Tamandua tetradactyla: one gene and its partner. The protein of the gene in region 2 interacts with the protein of the main gene of each other region in a pairwise test. Links are inferred from orthologs where the notes say so. Each region holds a gene or a part of one and is shown on either strand. Other genes may lie near its edges.

Region 1 (8,975 bases), on a different chromosome or scaffold from region 2:
ATCAGTTTTTAGTAAAGTTTAAATGCTTTCATTCTTTTCCTTTCATATCCACCTCACACTCACTGCGGAACAAGCATTTAACTTACTTCCTTGAGTTAAGACTTTAAAAAGTGGGATTTCTGACCTTGACAGCAAAAATGATATTGGTGCATATCCTATTTTCCTTTATAAAGGATAAATGTGAAGAGAACCTTCATTTTCAGTAGAACTTAAACCCAAATTGACCTTTAATTTATAAGAGCTGAAGAGCTGCTTCTCTAATCTTTCTGGCAGCATCAGAGCTGCTGTTTTGTACAACTCCAGGGGGTGCCTCACATATCAGAGTCTCTACGTGTGGTCCCTCTAGTGACCCAGTGCCGGACAAGACAGCCCTGGGCGGCATGGTTCCCAAACAACATTCTAAAAGGAACGCCCAGAAACATGACAACTAAAATTTGTCATGGTGTCCATTACTACAGGTAATTGACAAAAAATATTTAGTGTATAGTAAACAATATTTTTAGCTTTTCTCTTTGAGCACCAGTAGTAGATAGAGGAAGTACTCCCACACACTTGTGTGGTGACACCCATCTATACATCTCTGCACTGCCAGTACTGCCCAGTCTTCAGGAGAGGCTCAGTGCCTGTCCCCTGCCCAGGCCCTGGGTGCCCAGACCCCACACGGTATGAGTGTGGCTGGCACGTGAACCCCTCATCCTTCCCCACTCCTGTGACTTTGCATCCAAGATCATTGGGTGGGGAACTGTTTTCTCCAGAGAGCCACTAGTCCAAAGTGAGTGGAAAAGTAACTAACAGCCACACCAGGAAATAAAAAGGCAATTCGCTTTCTTTTGGAGTAATATAAAACAACCTTATTGCCTGCTTTTGGAATTATATTTTAAAGTATTTTTTGATTCCAGATTATGTCAATTAAAAGAGGGAATACTAGGAGATGGCAGAGGAGACTGGGAAACAAAGTAAAGATGATGGAAAAAAAATATGGACATAAAAGACGAGGAAAGAGTTAAATATAGGAAAGGCACATAACATGGATGAAAAGGGGACAATGAGAGAAAAGGAACAAGAGACTAGGCTCCAAATGATTGCTCTGTTTCTGTACAGTCTGCATTCATTAACACACAGTTATATGCACAGCAATCATTCATTGAACACCTACTCTGTGCTTGGGCATGGGTAGATTCAAACTTCCATAGGACATGGTCCCTGCCATCAAGAGGTTTGATTTCAAAGGGCATAAAGCATACACATAGCTAACTTTGCATGACAGCGCTGCATTGCAGATGGAGCAGGGACCCTGCCTGTCTACTTTTCTAGATCCCAGTCACAACAGAGCCTGGTACCCAGTAGGTGTTCACTAAATGTTTCTTGGATGTATGAAATGCTAAACTATGATACAAGTGTTATAACCCTATGGGAGAGGGAAGGACCATTTCGGGCTGGATTTGGGATAGTCAGGAAAGATTTCCTAAAAATTAGAGTTTGAAGGGCAGGTGGAGTTTTCATAAGCAAAGTTGTGAGGCAAGACATTTTAGACAGAGGGCACAGTGTGAAGCTGTGGGATCTGTGTAGGTTTAGGGTCTGGAAAATGCCAGGTTATCTGAATGTAGGGTTTATATTAGGAAGGCGATAAAGCTTAGGGAGATTAATGTCAGATTGTCTTGGTGCTTCAAAGTTTGTAAGCAGTTTAATTTTAATTCTTTGGGAAAGAGATGGATCAGAGTTAACATTTGAAAAGGTTGATTTGATAACTGCATTCACAAATTTCTGACCTGAAGAACCTAAAGCACAGTTCCTGAATGCATAATCTGCCGCTCCATTTTAAGCCCAACCACCCAGAGTGCTGCTCAGAATGCAGATGTTGGGGCCCCACAAATGTATATTTCCTAGGTCTTGAGGTCCAGGATCTGCATTTAAATAAGCTGCCCACATAATTTTTCCTGTACACTAAAGCTAGGTAAAACTGGCTTAGAAACTAGAGGTGTATTAGTTATCTATGCTGTGTAACAAATTATCCCAAACTTAGCGTCATAATACAATAAATAATTATCTGAAAAAAAATTATCTCACAGCTTGTAGGTCAAGAATTGGACAGTGGATTGTTAAGTGGTTCGAGCTCAGGGTCTCTCATGAATTTGCAATCAAGCCGTGAGCTGATGCTACAGTCACCTGAAAGCTGGACTGGGACTGCAAGAGCCTCTTCCAAAGGCTGTAGGCAGGAGTCTTCAGTCCCTCTCCACGTGGACCTCCCCAGAGGGTTGTTCATGAGATGGCAGCTGGCTTCCCACAGAGCAATGCTGAGAGAGTCATTTATAATCTATGTCAGAAGTGACATATCATCACTTCTGCCATGTTCTATTGCTCACCACAGACCAACGCTGGTACAATGTGGGCAGAAACTATAGGAGGTAGAGATCTTCTGGCTAATTTGGAGCCTGGCTACCAAAAGAGGCAAAACCCATAGCCTAAGTGTGAGGCGATAGGAACTTGAAATTATACTATGTAGTACGGAATAAAATGAATTACATGTATTATTTCAATTAATGCTCATAACAACTCAATGAGAAAAGTACTGCAATTATTCAATGGGGAAATCGAGGCACAGATTTGTTATGACAAAGGGAGTTATTACACAGATGGACTTCTCTGGATGCCTAGGGAGATTAATGTGTGGAGGAAGGGAATTGGCTGTTACCGATGTCCTATGGAATTTATCCTGGCTAATGAAGTCCGTTAACCGTTCAATACATCAAGTTTTAGGATTTATTTTCAGACGGCCACAACAGCTAACCAGGGGCAACTCACATTTCAACCTAAAGCACTCCACAGGTCATTCATTTAATAAGCAATGGGAACCAGATCTTAGACCAGAAATTCTCCCCAGACAGGATCCCTGGAATGGCCTGTTAAATAGTTGGGTCCTGTTTGCTGACTTTACCCAGGATTTGATCTCTGCCCCAAGCTCTTCTAACTTCTGCAGTCTGGAGAGGCTGGGAATTAGAAAGTTATTTTTAAATCCTGCAAATCTGGCTCATGAATATATCTGGTAGGCTGTGTAGACCAGCACCTGAGAACACTCCCTGTTTATTACATCTCTTCCCAGCACAGAGGCAAGCTGAGGTTCGTCAAAGCAGGCTGTTTTCTCCACACATTTTGAATGCTGCTCTACAATGGAAAATGCCTTCCAAACTTTCCATTCTGCTTTTGCTGAACTTTCCTCCGAGGTTTCCTCTTTTGTAGTCAGTCAGCACCTCCCTAATATTCTCATGAGCCACCCTAACCTGTTCTTGCTGAGAGTCAAAAGACTTCATGACCTTCTTTCTTTTCTCCAGTTTTGTTTCATTTCAACTCCCTTTGTCTTTTTTCAGCGTTCCTCCTTTTGCTTTGTCCTCCTTGAGCTTTTCCTACTCAACCACACCTATAATTACAAGTGCCCAAGAGTTTGATCACTTACTTAATGTCAACAACAACACAAGTAAGTTCCGGAGCTGCGGGAGCAGAATGCAAGAGGGTGAGCCGACTGGGCCGGTGGGACCGGGCCAGCGTACCTGAAGCCTCCAACCCCCCCCCACCCCCAACTTGCCAAAACTGCGTTCTGCAGTGGCCAGACCTGCCAACATTAATAAGTTCCGAAGGACCCAGAGAGATGCAAGACGTCACAGACTGCAGATGTCATTCCCCAATTAACTAAGAGTGGAGAGTGGAGAGTGGAGGGGGAGGTGGCCCTGTCGCCCGCCATCCCTCGCCCCGCCCCCCGGCCCCGCTCCCAAGGACCAAAGAACCTCGGGGTCAGCGCGCCGGACAAGCCGGCCTGAGATGCAGCGGGCAGCCAAGCCTGCCCGGCACTGGTGCCTCTCCAGGCGCCCGGGTGGGGCCGCGAGCGCCCAGTCAGGCCCCGGGCATGCGGGCCGCGGGTGGGGCGGGGCGGGCGGGCGGGTCAGGGCTGAGGGACGCCGTTTGCCAACAAGTTGGCCTGAGTGTTTGTCCAGCCAGTCTGTGCCGCTCGCAGGCGCCTCAGCCTCCTTCTCCCTTGCTTCCCCAACAATTTCTGGCGGCCCAACTGGACCGGGCTGGTGCTCGGGTCACCCAGCCCAGGCAAGCTCCGGGCTCTAAACAGGTAAAGGCTGGGGTGGGGTTAAGAGAAGGGTGTGTGGGGCTGGGTGGGGGTGTCCCCCGGGGGGAAGAGTGGTAGGTGCAGGGGACTGCAGGGAGGCGGGGCGGCAGAGGGAGGGCCGGCCTGGCGAGGCCTCGGTCCCGGGCGCCGCGCGCCCCTCCCCTTGCCCAGCTCCCCCTTCCCCTCCCCCGCTCCCGCCCCGTCCCGCCCCGTCCCGCCCCGGGCAGGCTCAGGTGTGGGGTTGAGCCGGGCGAGCGCGGCCGCGACGGGCTACCGGTGTCCGATGTCGGGTGTCCGATGTCTGGAGCAGGCGGCTGGGTGAGCGGCGCCCCGGAGGCCCGGGGACTTGTGGTCCTGGGGAGCAGCTGGAGAGGGAGGCCTTCGGGGGAAGCTCTGGGGATCCCCGCGGGGATATGCGCGCCCGCGGAGTTGGGGCGGCCTTGGGGTTGGCTGCGTAGGAGGGTCTTGTGCTCTGCAGCTTCCAGGCACACTTCTGGGGCGTCAGCCGGGCCTCCGCCACCTCCGCCAGCCCCTGCGCGCTCCGGGACGCCCGCGCGCTTCAGCCCGCCGACTTGGCGGCGCCCACCCCCACGGCCGTGCGGGCCAGTCGCACCCGCATCCTCCGTGTGGGTAGTACCGGGTGGACTTCCTTCCCAAGGAGCTGTTCTAGAAAAGTCCCGGGGAGGCGGTTTTAGCCCGCGCCGCACCCCCGCTGTGGCCTCCCCGCGCGCCCGCACGCAGGTGCGCCTCCACGTGGGGTGGGGCGAGACGCGCCCCGGCGCTGCGGGTCCCCGCGGCCGCCGCCCTCGGGTCGCGGAGCTCAGCCGGACCGCGCGGGAGGCAGACCCAGGCTGTGGCCCCGGTGTACTCCACGGTGACCTTCCTCACCTAAGTGGGCACCCTGCCCGCAGGACTCACGCGGGCGCCGGAATGGGGGTGGGAGACGCAATGAGCAGTCAGAATCTGTAAGTTAGCTCAGGGTTGTCTGTCCCTGCCAGGAGAAGAAGCAAGCGCTGCGCCTCTTTCCAAACTGAGATTCTCTTCATCTCACAAAAGGCTTTTATTTGATTTAGGAGAAACAACGGCTTGTTTAACAGAAACAACGACTTGGACGAATATGATCATTTGTAAAAAGTGAATAAAAAATGAAAGATATAATGTGGGCACTGATTTGGCATGACTGGAATTCGTTCCATAAATCTTGTGTTACAGTAAATTTAAATTTCTGAAGAATGGTGAATGTTTATAAAACAACTTACCAAATTACTGTCACCTCTGGTAATTAGTTTTGTTCTCAGAATGAGTCCTTTCGCAGGATAGAGAAGTGACGATTGTCTTCAAAGAATTAGAGTTCAAAACTATATTCTTAACATGAAAGTTTTACTGTCCATGTCACAGTATTTATTTGAAGTACCTCGGTCCCTTTGGGTGGGGGGAGCTCAGTTATTAAAATTAAAAAAAATTAAAGAACAGTGGCTGTGGAAGGGGGGGCATTGTGGAGAACTAAAAGGATCCTGTGTCTCCTTAGAAGTTGGTTTTGGGGATAAATTGCAGGGTTGGATTTGCTGCTTATTCTTTTTCTTGAGCAAAATGCTATACCAGAAGAAAACCAAGTTAATTAACTAAACTTTAAATGTTTTGGATCTTGACTAGCTGGAAGTTGCTGCACTAAATGTCTTAGGGATTAGATAACTTTGGTTAAATAACTTTGAATCAGTATCAGCAATGATTGTTGTGGGGAGTGAAAGTAGGAAAACCCCTGCTGAGTTAATTTCCTCATTTCCATTTTCTCTACCCTGGCTCCACTTGTCTCCATAGCTTCAAACTATATTATATCACGGAGTCTACAAATTGTGTAGGTCCACAGCATGAACTGGCTGTCATTTCACAGATGAGAAAACCGAGGCCCCCGGAAATGAAGCGTGGGCTCAGTCACACCGTTCATTAGAGGCGGAGCCGGGTCCCAGGCCCTTGCTTGTTGTCCTTATCAGCACACTGTGCCCTGGTTATTTTCCTTCCGGGCAGCATGAACACCTGGGGGAGAAAGCGTGAATCTCTACAGGTGAACCAGCAGCAGCAGAGGCATGCAATACCGTTCAGCAGCCTGAAGCCACATATTTGATCAGCTGCGTCCCCAGGTATTCTCTGAGGACCTGATAAAACCAGTGTCTTTCCTTTAAGATCTGCTGGTTAACTTCAATGCCAGAAGTGCGTGCTTGGTACAGAGCTTCGTAAAAAAGCTTGAGCCTTTCATCACAGCAGTGGGGTAGGACCCATCCCATGCGTGAGACGCCTACTGTGTGCTGCCCTTGACGGCGTGTGGGATGGGGAAATGCGGAAATTCTCTGTGCCTGTGACAAAGCTGGCAGATGGTATGCACGCCTGGGCCAGCATGACAGTTCCTGTCCTTTCTGGGGAAGGGTGATTTCAATACTGGCTACCTCTGCAAGCGTATGTATGACCTGTCACGATGAGGCTTTGCGCTCTGAGTCCTGTGCCTTCATTCAGTTTAGCATTTCTATTGCTGCAGGAGTTTCTGGTCTTTGTTCTGAAATTCAGACGTGCTGCCCCGTGGTGAGGTTTTGATTCGGGGCTCACAAACTCACAAAGAGGCCTCTGTGTCGTAGAGTACACTAGAGCAGACTCTCCGCTTTCCAGCCTCTGTGCCCCATCTCCTTCTGTGAAATGGAGGGATTGATGGACCTGACTCTAAGGGTTATTGTGAAGATTAAATGAGTTGATGCATGAAAAGTGCTTAAGACAGTACCTGTCCAGGTAAATGTGAGCTCTTACTGGTCTTAGGGGACAGGAGGGAGAATGTGGATTTGGCACTTCGAGGCTTTTCATTTTTAGTCTTGACCCACCCCGTCACTGTTGCTATATATTTGCCCCATTCAAAATGGGGAACAAACTTGAAACCTCAGGCCTCACTGAACTGCTCCTTTTCTGCCATGTTTGCCGTGTGAGTCCATCATTAGTCACAGTGTGCCAACATAAGGACGTTTACTGGAATGCCAAGGACGCAATGACTTAGGTTTCTTACCACTTCATCTCAGAGCAGTGGAGTCGGATGTGCTGAGGAACCACGTGGGCTCTAGACAATAGCCTGGCCTCTTGAAGCTTCTCCTTCATGTAGGTTATATTGGCCCCACCTCTTGAGAAACTGTTAGAAACAAAAAGAGAAGCAAGCATCACACCTCACTGCAATGTGGCTGCTACCTTAAAGCACAATACAGAGTTAGCCAGGAAGCATGGGAAGTGGGGAGCCTTTCAGAGCTAGAGTCAGTGACATGCTTTTAATTATTTGTAAGTTTTCTCTTAATATTTGGTTCCGCTCCAGTTCCTGTGGTTGAACACTGTGGGAGATTATAGGTTTTGGAGTTTGTGAGAATAGTTTTAGCCACAATAAAGGCCCCTACCACCCAATGAGTAGTTGGTGAATTTATATGCTGTGTTTGCAAAGCATTTTGTGGGACCCAGGCTGTCTGGGCATGCATGTCTAAAGAGGCTGGGTGTATGCTGAGAAACAACTTTGCAAAGGAAGAGGAGGGATGGGGGAAGCTGGGGGGATGCCTGGATGGTGAAGGGAGCATTACAGACCTAGCTTAACAATGCTAAAGTGAAAGAAGTAAGAGCAGCCAAGACTATTGTGGCCATGGTGTGACTAGTCTGAAATTTGAGCGTTTGAACTGAGTGTGGAGAAACTAGATATATGAGAGGGGCATGCTAGAGGGTGAGATTATTGAGGCATCGTAGGCACCAGATTATTAGTCAACTTCTTCCAACATTGGTGTTGGAAGAAAAGATACAGAGTATGTTTTTTTTTAAATATCTTACTGTATTTGAAGCAAATTCAGAGTATTTTTTTTCAAATTGGAAATGTGTATCTAATTTCTTTCTTAATACAAAAATATGCAGGTTTGCTATTTAAAAAACCAACCAAATTGAAATGTATAAATGCAGATGAAATATCCATGGAAATGACACCCCTGGACACAACTGTTAAATCATTTGTGCATATGCAAGTTCATAGCTTATTATTATTATTGTTATTATTTTGCATGGGCAGGCGCCGGGAATCAAATCCGGGTTTCTGACATGGCAGGTGAGAACTCTGCCTGTTGAGCCACTGTGGCCCACCCTGTGGCTTATTTTTAAAGGAGCCCTCTAATAATTTCTTTTTAAAGCATGACACTTTTATAATGGACCTGGTCACTTCTTTGTTCCCTCAGTTCATCTGTTGCGTAAGTTTGGATTTTATTAAATTAGGTTATCTGGAAGAGGTAGGCCTAACACCTGGTGACCTTCCAGAACGTGGGTGAATGTTCTCGCCGGCAGCCACACTGTTTACATGGTCCTAGCAGGTTGACTGGAAATTACACGGTCCTTTTGTGAAGATGAAAGTATGTACTTGTGTTTAAGTGCTGCTTTTAAGGAGAAAATGCAAAAATGGTGGTTGCAGCTTAATTTTTATTTCTTCTCTCTTTCTCAAGCAGGGCTTTGATTTGGTTTGCTTTGGGATGGATAGCTCTCTGAAATCTCAGAAATAATAGCTTCTTTTGAATCGTGTTTGGAGAGAGCCTTAGAATTTCTTCTTCTGACCTCTTTTTTTTTCTTTCCCCCAGCCATATAGTTGTGGTTTGTTAGGCTCTGACGTAATATGTTTGCTTAGTTGGGAGAAGGCCAAATGCTGTTAATTTTTTTTTGCTTGTTTCCCCGAGATTGACCTGTATAAATTTAGGGTTTGTTTTGTTTCTATGATAAACTATCTTTGGAAATTACAGGACAGAGGTTACACAAACTCTTATCAAAGCGTACCTCAGCTTTTCCTCCTCTCTTTCCCCCTGAAATGAAAAAGTGAACT
Region 2 (11,206 bases):
AATAAAGATTGAGGATAGAGTTCATGGGTTTGCTAAGAGAGCCAGAAAACAGGGGAGTCAGTAGATCCAAAAGCAGACATACAAATTTAGCTCACCAAAATCTAGGTCCTCTTCTTTTTTCTTAGTTTTATTTCAGGCATCCTAAAACAAGAAGCATGCCACACCTTCTGAGCTTCCCTATCATTAAGTCAGGAGGTAGGTAACAGTATTTATAAACTCAGAATATGGCAAACAGTTATTCGCTCCCTGAGACAAGTTCAAATTTTTAAAAAAGAATATTGTGACAGCTGTATCATTATTCAATCATCCTCAAGAAACATGGCTACTGGAACACAGCTCTACATTTTCAGGCAGTTCCCTCCAGCCTCATACAGCTGTCACAATGTGACTGTGTGATTGTGAAAACCTTGTGTCTGATGCTCCTTTTATCTACCTTGTCAACAAAGGAGTAGAACATATGGAATAAAAATAAATAATAGGGGGAACAAATGTTAAAATAATTTAGTTTGAAATGCTAGTGATAAATGAAAGCGAGGGGTAAGGGGTATGGTATGTATAATCTTTTTTTTTCTGTTATCGTTTTATTTCTTTTTCTGTTGTCTTTTTATTTCTTTTTCTAAATCGATGCAAATGTTCTAAGAAATGATGAATATGCAACTATGTGATGACATTAAGAATTACTGATTATATATGTAGAATGGAATGATATGTTACTGTTCTTGTTTGTTAATTTTTTTAATTAATAAATATACATAAATAAATAAAAGAATACTAAGTTAAGCACCCATTCTACTGAAACATGCGAATATAAGGTATTTACAGCATTACAAAAGGCTCTATAATCTGAACTCCTCCTCTTAAATATAGTAGAAGAGGAAGTAAAATCTTCCTTATTTCCATTTGCAAAACAAAATATTTTGCTGTAGTTTACTATCATCATAGTAATACTTATTTCACTAAGTATCAGACTGAAACTCATCACTTAAAATTTTTTTTAAATCGACTACTACTATCTAAAAATTCGCCTTGCATGATATTACTATGGCAATAAGACACAAAAGAACAAGCACATTTTATCTTTACAACCAAGGACAAAGGACTTCTGGAGCTGGTTCTTCTTTACCACAAAATGTTTTATAAATAAAGAGCTTAAAAGTAATGAAAAGATGGAATGATCAGCCTGAGGGGATGCACTAAATGGGTGAATTATAAGATGAACACCTGAAACCCACATTTTAAAATCAACTTGGATTGTTATTCATTAACCTACCAATAAAACAAATACTGTTGCTAAAGAGGTTGCCTATGATTGTTTCCAAGCTATGACCAAGCAGATCCTAAGAGAATAACAGAGACCCCACCAAACCAGGGCTTTTAGCAATTGAAAATTAGGACATCTTTTCAACACAATTTGTGTTCCAGCCTTTCCAGGAAAAAAAAAAAATTCTTAAATAAAAAGAACCACTGACACCAAAAAGCATAAAGCCTGTTTTATTGTGTTGTTGCCATTTTAAACTATCAAAAACTTCAATTCTGCAGATAACTTATTTTTTGAAAGACAATTGTTAAAGAATGTTTGAATATACTTATCCCATTTGGAGTCAAAATGAGTTTCTATTTGCCATCAAGAAAATGAGCTTCTGTTTGCTATCACAAAAACAGCCAGTACTTGAGAGATCCCAAACAGAGTCAAGAGGTTATCCTTATGCATTATACAGATCTCACCTTTTTAGTTAAGGTGTAATGGAGAGGCTGGAGGGAACTGCCTGAAAATGTAGAGCTGTGTTCCAGTAGCCATGCTTTTTGAAGATGATTGTATAATGATATAGCTTTCGCAATGTGACTGTGTGATTGTGAAAACCTTGTGTCTGATACTTTTATTTACCTTATCGACAGATGAGTAAAATATATTAAAAATAAATAATAGGGGGAATAAATGTTAAAATAAATTTAGTAGATTGAAATGCTAGTGATCAATGAAAAGGAAGGGTAAGGGTATGCCTGAATTTTTTTATTTTCTTTTTATTTCTTTTTCTGATTTGATGCAAATGTTCTAAGAAATTATCATGATGCTGAATATACAACTATGTGATGATATTGTGAGTTATTGATTATATAACATGAATGGCATGATCATATGGTAAGAATGTTTGTGTTTGTATGTTAAATAAAAAAAAAAAAACAGCCAGCACTTTCAATCTTGCGAATCGGTGACTATGCAACCAAGAAATCAGGATTTAAGGGATGATTTTTATTACTGAATCACTATATAGAAATTCCTTTTTTGCTTTCTTGTACATTGGAGTAGAAAGAGGGAAATTCCTAAAATCTCTAAATTGTAATTCAGCTGCTTTGATCTCTGCTAATGATTGTATAGCCCTTATCTTCTGCCCTTGTTATTGTAAAAACCTCATGACTAACCTTCTTTTGTACCCAGTTTAACAGTTTTTCAACTTTAGAGTCTTGTAATCATTAAAGACAGCAGGTAATGTTTATTAATGAAGGGTCTTGAGTCAGCCCAGAACTCAACACACCCCATATCTGAAGTTATCTTGTTAAGAGAGACTGGGATCTAACCAAAGTGGGCTTGGCCTACCTGACATGCACAGAAGCTTACACTTGAACCGACAAGTCACCTACACCTCATTCCACCATTTTCTTACATACATTCTGTGACTAAGCATGTAATCAACCTGCACATGCTCAATACTTAAATTACCTCTACAACATCTGGGGCCACTGTGCTTATTATCCTAAACCCTGCCCATCTTTCCTCTAACTACCTGAATTACTGCAGTTTGGGGAGACAGATTTTGGGCCGCTAGGCCATCTGCTCTCCTACTACTTGCCTAGTAATAAACTCTTCCTCTCTTTGAAATACCCAATGTCTCAGGAATTGGTTATTGAGTGTGGGGGCAGAAGAATTCACAGCCTTTGTCCGGTAACAACTATGGAAGATGGATGAGTCTCTTGAAGGTCAAATGCATGAATCTGGCCCTTCAATTTCCACAAAACACCATCAGCAAATCCTAAACCCAATCATCCCTCTTTCCAAAGGGCTCTATCTATAGTAATTTATTTTATTTTATGTATTTATTTATTTATTTTGCATGGGCAGGCATCAGGCATCAAACCCGGGTCTCCAGCACGGCAGACAAGACCTCTGCCTGCTGAGCCACCGTGGCCAGCCCAGTAATTTATTTTTAAGTTAACAAAGTTGGTTTAAATGATTTTCTTTTGTTTTTCTTTTTCTGGACTAATATCTGCACCTGAATATGGACAGCTAGGACAGTAGAGATTTTACAAGGGTCCTAACTTTTTTCTTCTTTGTAACCTAGCAATAAAAAGTAGATCAGAAAAACAAAAGTAGATCAGTAACATTTTGCCTTTTAGTATACCTGGATTCAAAAGAAAGTGATTTATGATTTCTCATTCCCCTTTCATTATTATTATCACTATTATTATTATTATTATTATTATTACCTTCTAACACCATTACAAGTAAGAGTGAAACCATGCGTGAACAAAAATCGGTTCATGGGGATATTCTCTGTTCCTGTAACCTTTTCTTTTGAGTTTGCTTAACGGCAGGTCATATAACCTAAGCATGCGTAGAAAACAGATTTTTGTCCTTTATATGGACTTTGAGACACCAGGAACAAATGCCACCTCCCTTGGAACCAAGATTACAAGAACAAGGAGACATTGAAAGCAAATCAAATGCCAAATGGAGCCTAAAATCCACTCTACCACACATGGACAACTCTATGATTAACCAATTGCACTGGGCCAAGTCAAACCTCTCCACTTCTGTCTATACTTTTCACCCCCCATTCCCACAAAATGTCCCTTAACTCTCAGATCAAGGAGACAGATTTGAGCCTTGCCTCCTGGCCAATCAACCTCACAATAAAACTCTCTTTTCTGAAAATCAAGAAATCATAGTATTGTCCTCTGTGGATACTGGGTGGGGAGCCTTTGCTCATTCATTCACTCATTCATTTATATCAGTATGGATTCATAGATTTTTCCTTTTATTCATTTGGTTATAATCCATTAATAATATTATTTTGATGCTCATAGTTGTCCCCAAAATATCAGTAACAGCAGCGTATGTTTAAAAAAGGCATGAATGCTTTCTCATACTTTCTCTCTTTGATTCTGTGAGGAAGGTAGAGAGATATCTCTCCTATAAACCTAAAGAAGTTAAAGGCTTTTGTGCTGGTAGAACTGAGGCTACAACTGCAGGTCTTGTGAATACACTGTGCTTTCCACTTTATATTAAGCAGTCTTCTTTAATGATGAAAGGATAAAATTTTTGGTAACTGGGAAAGTTTCCTTGTCCTTGGCAAGAGTAGTAGCTTACAGGCTATTCATAAAGCAACCCTGGAGTCAAGCTGTGAAGACCCTACAGCATCAGCATGAGATTTCACCAATTTGAGCAAGAAAGGGGAGGGGAAGGGACACTACATTTTTTAAAACCTACACGAATATTTAGGGTGGATTTTCCCCCCTCCTGTAAATTACTCATCTTTATTCCTTTATACAGAACAATAGTAATTTGAGGATCTGTAACTCCCTCCCTACAATTTCCTTTATTTTTTATCACAGTAATGTTTGCACCAAGTGTGCATGTGCATGTGCCACACAAAATCACAGAGAAACTTATAATAAAAAGCAAAGTCTCCCCTCAGGCAAACTATGAACGGTTTTCCATTTTAGTTTTAGCAGTTATCTTCACATCGTTGAAAACTATTTATTATATTTTCAATTTAAGGTATTGTCTATGGATTCAGGATTTAATTTGCTAACACTACTCCTTCTCTTCCCTCTCACCTAATTTCTGATCGTTGTTCCCTTAAATTTTTCAAGAATAATCCTTCATATAAAGTAAAACCTCTTTGTTCCATAAACGTTAGAAAGTATCGGTGGAGTCCCCTCCTGTCACATACAGATATTAGCAATGCTGTCTTCCCCTCCTTCTAGCAGCTGTACCTTGACTTTTACATCAAAGCTCATAATCCATTCTTAAATGGGTGTGAAACCCACACCCTTGGGCGGGCGTGAGGAAAATTCCCAGAGGTTTGGGAATAAGAACAGACGTCAAGGAGAAGAAGCTAACAGTCAGAGGGTGTCTTCCTCAGCCCCAAACTCTCGGCAGACCCTTAGTTTTCCCGCCGCGACGAGAGCAAACCCAGGAGTCGACAGACAACCGGCGGCCAGGCAGGGAAACGCGGGCTCCCGGCACCCCTCGCGCCTCCCGACCGCACTAAGGAGGCCCCACGACCACCTCCACTCCTCAGAGGCCGGAGTTCTTGCCCCTCACGTCCACGAAGCCTGCCCGGCCACCCTCCGGCCGTCGCGTCCACTGACTGACTGATGGGCGGGTAGCCGGTCCACCCACCGCAGGCCGCCTAGACAACCCAGGACCCCGAACGCACACCCAGAAAATTGCCCCGGAGCTGAGCGGGGGGCGAGGTCTCTCAGCCGCACCCCTTCGTTCATCTGCCCGCCTTCTTTGTTTCTCCCGAAGACGCCATTGGCTGCCGCTCTCGAGACCGGGCGAGGCGCGGGCAACCGGCGAGACGCGATTGGACGATATCGCCGCCGTTCGGCCGGCGGCTCGCTCGCGATTGGCCAAGACGCCGCCCGGGTTTGAATCACAGTCCCGGTCGGGGAGGGTTCTGCCAAAGTGCCACGTTGGGCCCGGCGGCGGCGTCGCGAGCCGGCTTGAGACGCCGGCCGAGGCGCCGGCCGTTGGAACCTTTGGGCGGCGCGAGGCTGGCCAGGAAGCCGGGCGACGGGCGGCTCTCGCTGAGCCTGGGCGGCGGACGGCGGGCGGGTCCCGCCCCGGGACGGCTCTGGCTGAGGGCGGCGGGGCCGGGAGCGAGCCCGGGGCAGCGGCTGAGGCGGGACAGCGGCGGTTGGGGCCGCTGCCCCCGGAGGGCCCGGCCGAGATGCTGGCGGAAAACCTGGTGGAGGAGGAGTTCGAGCTGAAGGAGGACGAGCCATGGTACGATCACCAGGACCTCCAGCAAGGTGAGGGCGGGGGACACGGCAGCGGGGAGGCTCTGGGCTGCTGAACTGTGTTGAAAAAGTTGCTCTCGCCCCGGGCCGCCGCCCTTTGCAGGCGCTGCCGTGCCCGCCCCGGGTGTCGGCGCAGGAATAATAACGCGCCTGGAGAACGTTGTCGAGGGCTAACTGTGTGCGGGGCGCTGCTCTCAGCGCTTTAAGACGCTTAGGTTATTCACCCTTTAAGCCACAGTGAGTGGCCGCCCCGTGACGGCTCCTGCGCACACGGCGCCCCTGGGCTGTAACGGGGCTCGCGGCGGCTGGAGCGGAGCCCTGTGGGTGCCAGTAGCATCCCTGCGCGGTGGGAAGGGCGCAGGCCCCTAACGAACCTGCCCTCCTCTTATCTGCACCCACCCACCGGGAGGAACTTTGGTCATCCCCATTTTCCCGGAGAGGAAAGACTGTAGTCCGTAGACTCCCAGAACGAGGAGCCAGCCAGTCACTGCCCAAACCCTTGTCCGTTCCTTATCCACCCGGTTTACGGGTTTTTTTCTATTGGGTGTTAACCCATTTTCTTTTGTTTTAAATTGTTAATGCACAGTCCACCAGATGCCGGATGAACTGACTGGAGGGCACTTCTGCCTCACCCTCCTCCGTCAATTTGCACTTCCACCTTTCGGTTAAAAGCCTGCCTTCCTGGCTTGGCCTGCCTGTAGAGTTCTTGCTGACCGTCCTTCCAGAGAAGGACCTTCGAGTGGCCTTCACTTTGAAGCCAGTGGTCCTTTTTTGGCATATTGCCAACTGGAGCTAGCAATAGGGATACTTGAGTATGTGCCAGACGCTGGCAGGTCCTTAACACAGATGCTCATTTAATCCTCACAACAGCACTTTGGAGGTGGAGGCGACTGTTTTGGGGTGCTAGGATTCCAATTCAATCTCCAGAGCAAGCGCATGATACTGAGCGCTAAATAATCCTCAGGAATTTTTTTTCAGGCTTCTGTTTCTGCGAATCTGTATAAATCCATTTTTTTCAGCTCCAAACTTGCAGTGAAAATGAAACATCTCATTTAGTTGAACATTAAATGATCGTGATATCTGTACATGCTGAGCGATGAACTCGGTAGGGGAGACCACAGGGAACGTAAACTTGAGTAACTCAACTTAGGAGAAGGAAATAAAATGTGTGCCTGCTTTGGGAAGGTGATTTCTAAAATCATTATGCTGGGAGCTGTACATACCAGTATTTGCGCTCACGTTCTCTATGTCCACAAGACACATTTGTCTTAAGTTTTAACAAACCTGTTTTCTGATTTTCCCATAAGAATTGATGGCCTAGTTTGATTCTTTCTCCAGGGTTAATTGCAACCATTGTGCAATTGCACCATTTCCTTTGAATATATTAAGGAGTTCGTATAATCAACGCAGAATGTTTTTCTTTCTAGTATATAAGATGCATAAATCCGCAAGGGCATTAAGGGCAGGGACCAGATGGCCCTCATTTTTTTGAATCCCCAGCATCTACTACAACACACAGCACATAATAGAAGCTCGATTAATGTTTCTTGAACCAAACTGAAGCACTCCCACAGGATTACTGGTTTCATGGCTTTCTTCCATCAGGGGCCTAAATCGCACTGCACTTTCCCCCCTGCGGTTGTTAAAAATAACCCATTGTAATTTTTCAATCTACTGAGAAGCAAATGCAGCCTGATAGGGTTACCGTTAGAGTTTTCTAACTGCTTTGATCAAACCAGAGCTGTCAGATCTTCAGGTTTAAACAGAACCTTAAAGGACACTGTTTTGAACCTGTTTGATGCCAGTTTGTATTTGGGGGTTCTTCTGTTCTTTTCAAAGGGTTCTTACATTTATTATCAAAATGGATTTTGACATAACTCAGTAAAGTGTGAGGAGTAGGAATAGAAGATAGGAAATTCCAACAATCATAACTTGGGAAAATGACCTATAAAACACAGCTGCAGGATGCATAAAAGGTTATCTTTGCCCCGATTTTTTAAAATTATATGTTAACTAACTTCTAAACTTGTAAAGCATTTTAAAATTTGTTCGTTTCACAGATATTTATTATCTACTCTGTACCAGGTAGTTATGTGGGCACTGGGGCCACAGCTGAAGACAGGTTATGATAGATGACATTCAAACTCAGTTGAGTGCACAGGTAGTTCAGTAGTAGAATTCTTGCCCACCCTGTGAGAGAAGTAGGTTCGATTCTGGCCCATGCGGTGGAAATACCACCAGCATCATGGAATGTTCCCACTATGGCACCTGGCCTACAGTAGCTCTTTATAGATACTTTCTGCTGAATGAAGTCTGTAAACAGGTCTGTCCTTTAAGCAAGTTGATTAAGCAGGTGTAGTGGGGATTTATCCTGTGTCAACAGCTGTATGATTTTTAAAATATCCTCACTATCAGTTTTGCTATACTAGGCTGTTTGGAGAGCAGTGAGTCAAACAGCTTTCTAAGATCCTGTTCAAAATGTCTTAGAACTACAAAATACTTTTTTTCTTTTAACGATATAAGCCATTTTTTAAGTAGATTGAGTCTGCATCGAAGTTTGTTGGGGCAGTCATTTCAAAATTAAAATTGCTGAAAAATTCCTGTTAGAAACGTGAAGCTGTGTGTAGGCAGGAGGAGAAAACCTTTGCTTTTAGAAAACACTTTGATGAAGACTATCTTTTGTCAGAGGCCTGAGTTGGCACAGTAAGAATACTGACAATAATCTCTATGCGTAAGGTCCTTTCTGGGACAGCAGGAGCTTTCTGTGCAGGTAATGATGGTACATGCTTTGAAATGTGTCCCTGCAAACAAGGTGGAAAGACTTCAGAGGCTGGATTTTCTTTCCAACTAGCTGCTATATAATCATTGTTTCATGAACTGTGGAAGTTTAGAGTAAGAATTGAGATTTCTCCTGTATGGACTGGGTAAATGAAATCTTAGTTTAAAGGAATCCTAAGATTTCTGTTTCTTTTTTTTAATGAGTACGTCTTTCTTGTGTGCAGCTTCTTTGCTGGATCACTGTTTGATGGGTCATTAAAACTGACACCATTTTTCTTCATGTTTATATTCACGTTTGTTGCCTTCCCAATTATAGTAACATTGGCAACGGGAATACAGGAGCATCATCAAATGACGCGTTTGACTTTGTAATAGGAAAAGCTTTCAGTCTTAATGTTAATGAATTACTGCTACAGACTATAGCTACTGTGTAAATAGATTGTCCTTGTATTTTTTGATGAAATTGAAGTAAAATGAGAAGAATATAGCAGTAAGATTTAAAGTTTCAAAATTCTGGAAGAAAGGTCCTGTTAAAAAAATCATTCTTGCTATTATGTAATTTTTTGCTTAAGGCATAGGACTAAATTGAGTATCCGTGTAAAGCCCCCAGTCTCACACTATTAAAAGAGAATATTATCATTTGCAAAGACTGTTGAATATTAAACCTATGATGGTACTGATATGTAATAATTTCCAAACCTACAGTAAATGTATGTCTCTGGCTGCCTAAGGCAGTTCAATGTGGTTTAAAAGAGCAGCTTCTTATTGTAGAATAGAGAAATGCACAGGGCTTCAAAACAAGATTGTTTCCTTTTCTTTGTTGCCTTAATCAAAAATATAAAGGACATTCAATATTCTCCCATTCCCTCCCCTAATTATTTAGAAAACCTTCTTGGGCTTAGTGCCAGCTTTTGGCTCATTTTAGTTACGGAAGCCAGATGCTACACAACAGGAAAAGAACTTTTTTAGAAGACCCTTGTCTTTAAACTAACAGATGAAGTAATATCCTATTATACAGTGTGACTTCACGGGTGCTTTCTTGTAGTTGAGACTTATCTTGCTAAAACTCTATCCTTAACATCCTATAAAATATTCAGGAGACTATGAGACTTCAGATTACTGAGCCAGGTTGAGGCTGTAACTGGAAATAAGGATTGAGATAAGGATAAGTCTAATTCTTTTTTGTTTGCTGTTTACTGAAAGAGCACTGTTCTTGGCATTTCTGCAGCGCCAGGAGCAGGAAAGATGTTACTGGCTGCATATTAAGTACAATAGATAGTTTCATAACTGAATGAAAGTGGTTAATGATGGTCTCAAGTTACCCTTGGTTCTGGAAGAAGTTTCGACTCAGGGTTTGATTGCTAGGTAAGAACATTTTGGTAAGTACCTGGTTCTTCCCAGTGGGGAGTTACTCACCACTTTACAACAGGCCAGAACGGATTACATCCAGGGAATGTTTTTATGCTTTGCATAAAACATACAGTGTGGTGGTGGCGTCTATGTGGATCTGTATGTACATATTATACACTCTGGGTATAGAATAATTGTTTCTGGACCGTCTTCAGCAATGCATACATACATAGTTCCTTCTTAACTTGGTGAAAAGAAGATAATAACTTGCCTGGGGTTATATAGCTGGAAGTAAAAACCCAGATCTCTCAATTGTAGTTTTTCATCACTATTTATGAAAACAAGAAGAAACGATTAAGTATCTCAGTTTGAGAAGTTTGTACTTTTAACCTTAAAGTGTGTGGGTGTCTTAAACTACTTATAACTATGTGAATGGGATAGATGATTGTAAAAATTAGAACCTGACAACTGAGTAGTTTCTGATTTACCTATCATACACCATGAAGATCTGTCAGGTCAGTTAACATCTTGTATTCATGTGACATAGAACTTTTATACACAGCTCAGAGCATTCATCTTTCCATCTTCACAAGGTCCACAGCCTGATTTTTCAGAAGAGACAAGCCAAAGCACAAAGATGTAATTTCAAACTTATCTGAAGTCTTATTATATGCCAGTAATAAACATTGTTAATATTTAAATCACAGGAGAATGTGTTTTAACACCTCATTTACCAGCAGTGTATTGTTTTATTTAACATGGGCATGAAATGTTTTAAAATGTGCTGGAGTGGTGTGTGGTAGTTTTGTTTTGTCTTGTTTTAATCTAATGAGGGAAAACGAATCAAGTAGACTTATGCACTTGAAGGTTTGTTGGCAGGTAACAAAAATTGTTTTTCTTTTACCATTTATTTGAGTTTAAGTTTTAATATAAGTCATAGTGGACAGATATTAAACCTTGTCAACCTTTACAAATTAAGTTTTAAAAGTTCCTTGCAGTTTTAAAAGGGAAATTTATTGTCTTAATTGCTTATATTAAAAAAGAAGAAAGA

What was found. The genes of interacting proteins can lie anywhere in the genome.
Region 1: the proteins of CDR2 (region 2) and SH2D4A interact in binary tests that used the Homo sapiens proteins (3 or more experiments, as listed by UniProt). The two-hybrid records come from large-scale screens. The link is inferred for Tamandua tetradactyla from reciprocal best matches to the Homo sapiens genes CDR2 and SH2D4A.

What each region holds. Positions count from the first base shown.
Region 1 is NC_135329.1:19,293,935-19,302,909, reverse strand, and holds the start of SH2D4A (SH2 domain-containing protein 4A), read left to right. Parts: upstream 1-3,963; 5' UTR 3,964-4,114; intron 4,115-4,321; exon of another isoform or gene 4,322-4,429; intron 4,430-6,136; exon of another isoform or gene 6,137-6,249; intron 6,250-8,975. UniProt on the Homo sapiens protein: Inhibits estrogen-induced cell proliferation by competing with PLCG for binding to ESR1, blocking the effect of estrogen on PLCG and repressing estrogen-induced proliferation. May play a role in T-cell development and function.
Region 2 is NC_135349.1:34,858,217-34,869,422, forward strand, and holds the start of CDR2 (cerebellar degeneration-related protein 2), read left to right. Parts: upstream 1-5,849; 5' UTR 5,850-5,957; coding exon 5,958-6,039; intron 6,040-11,206.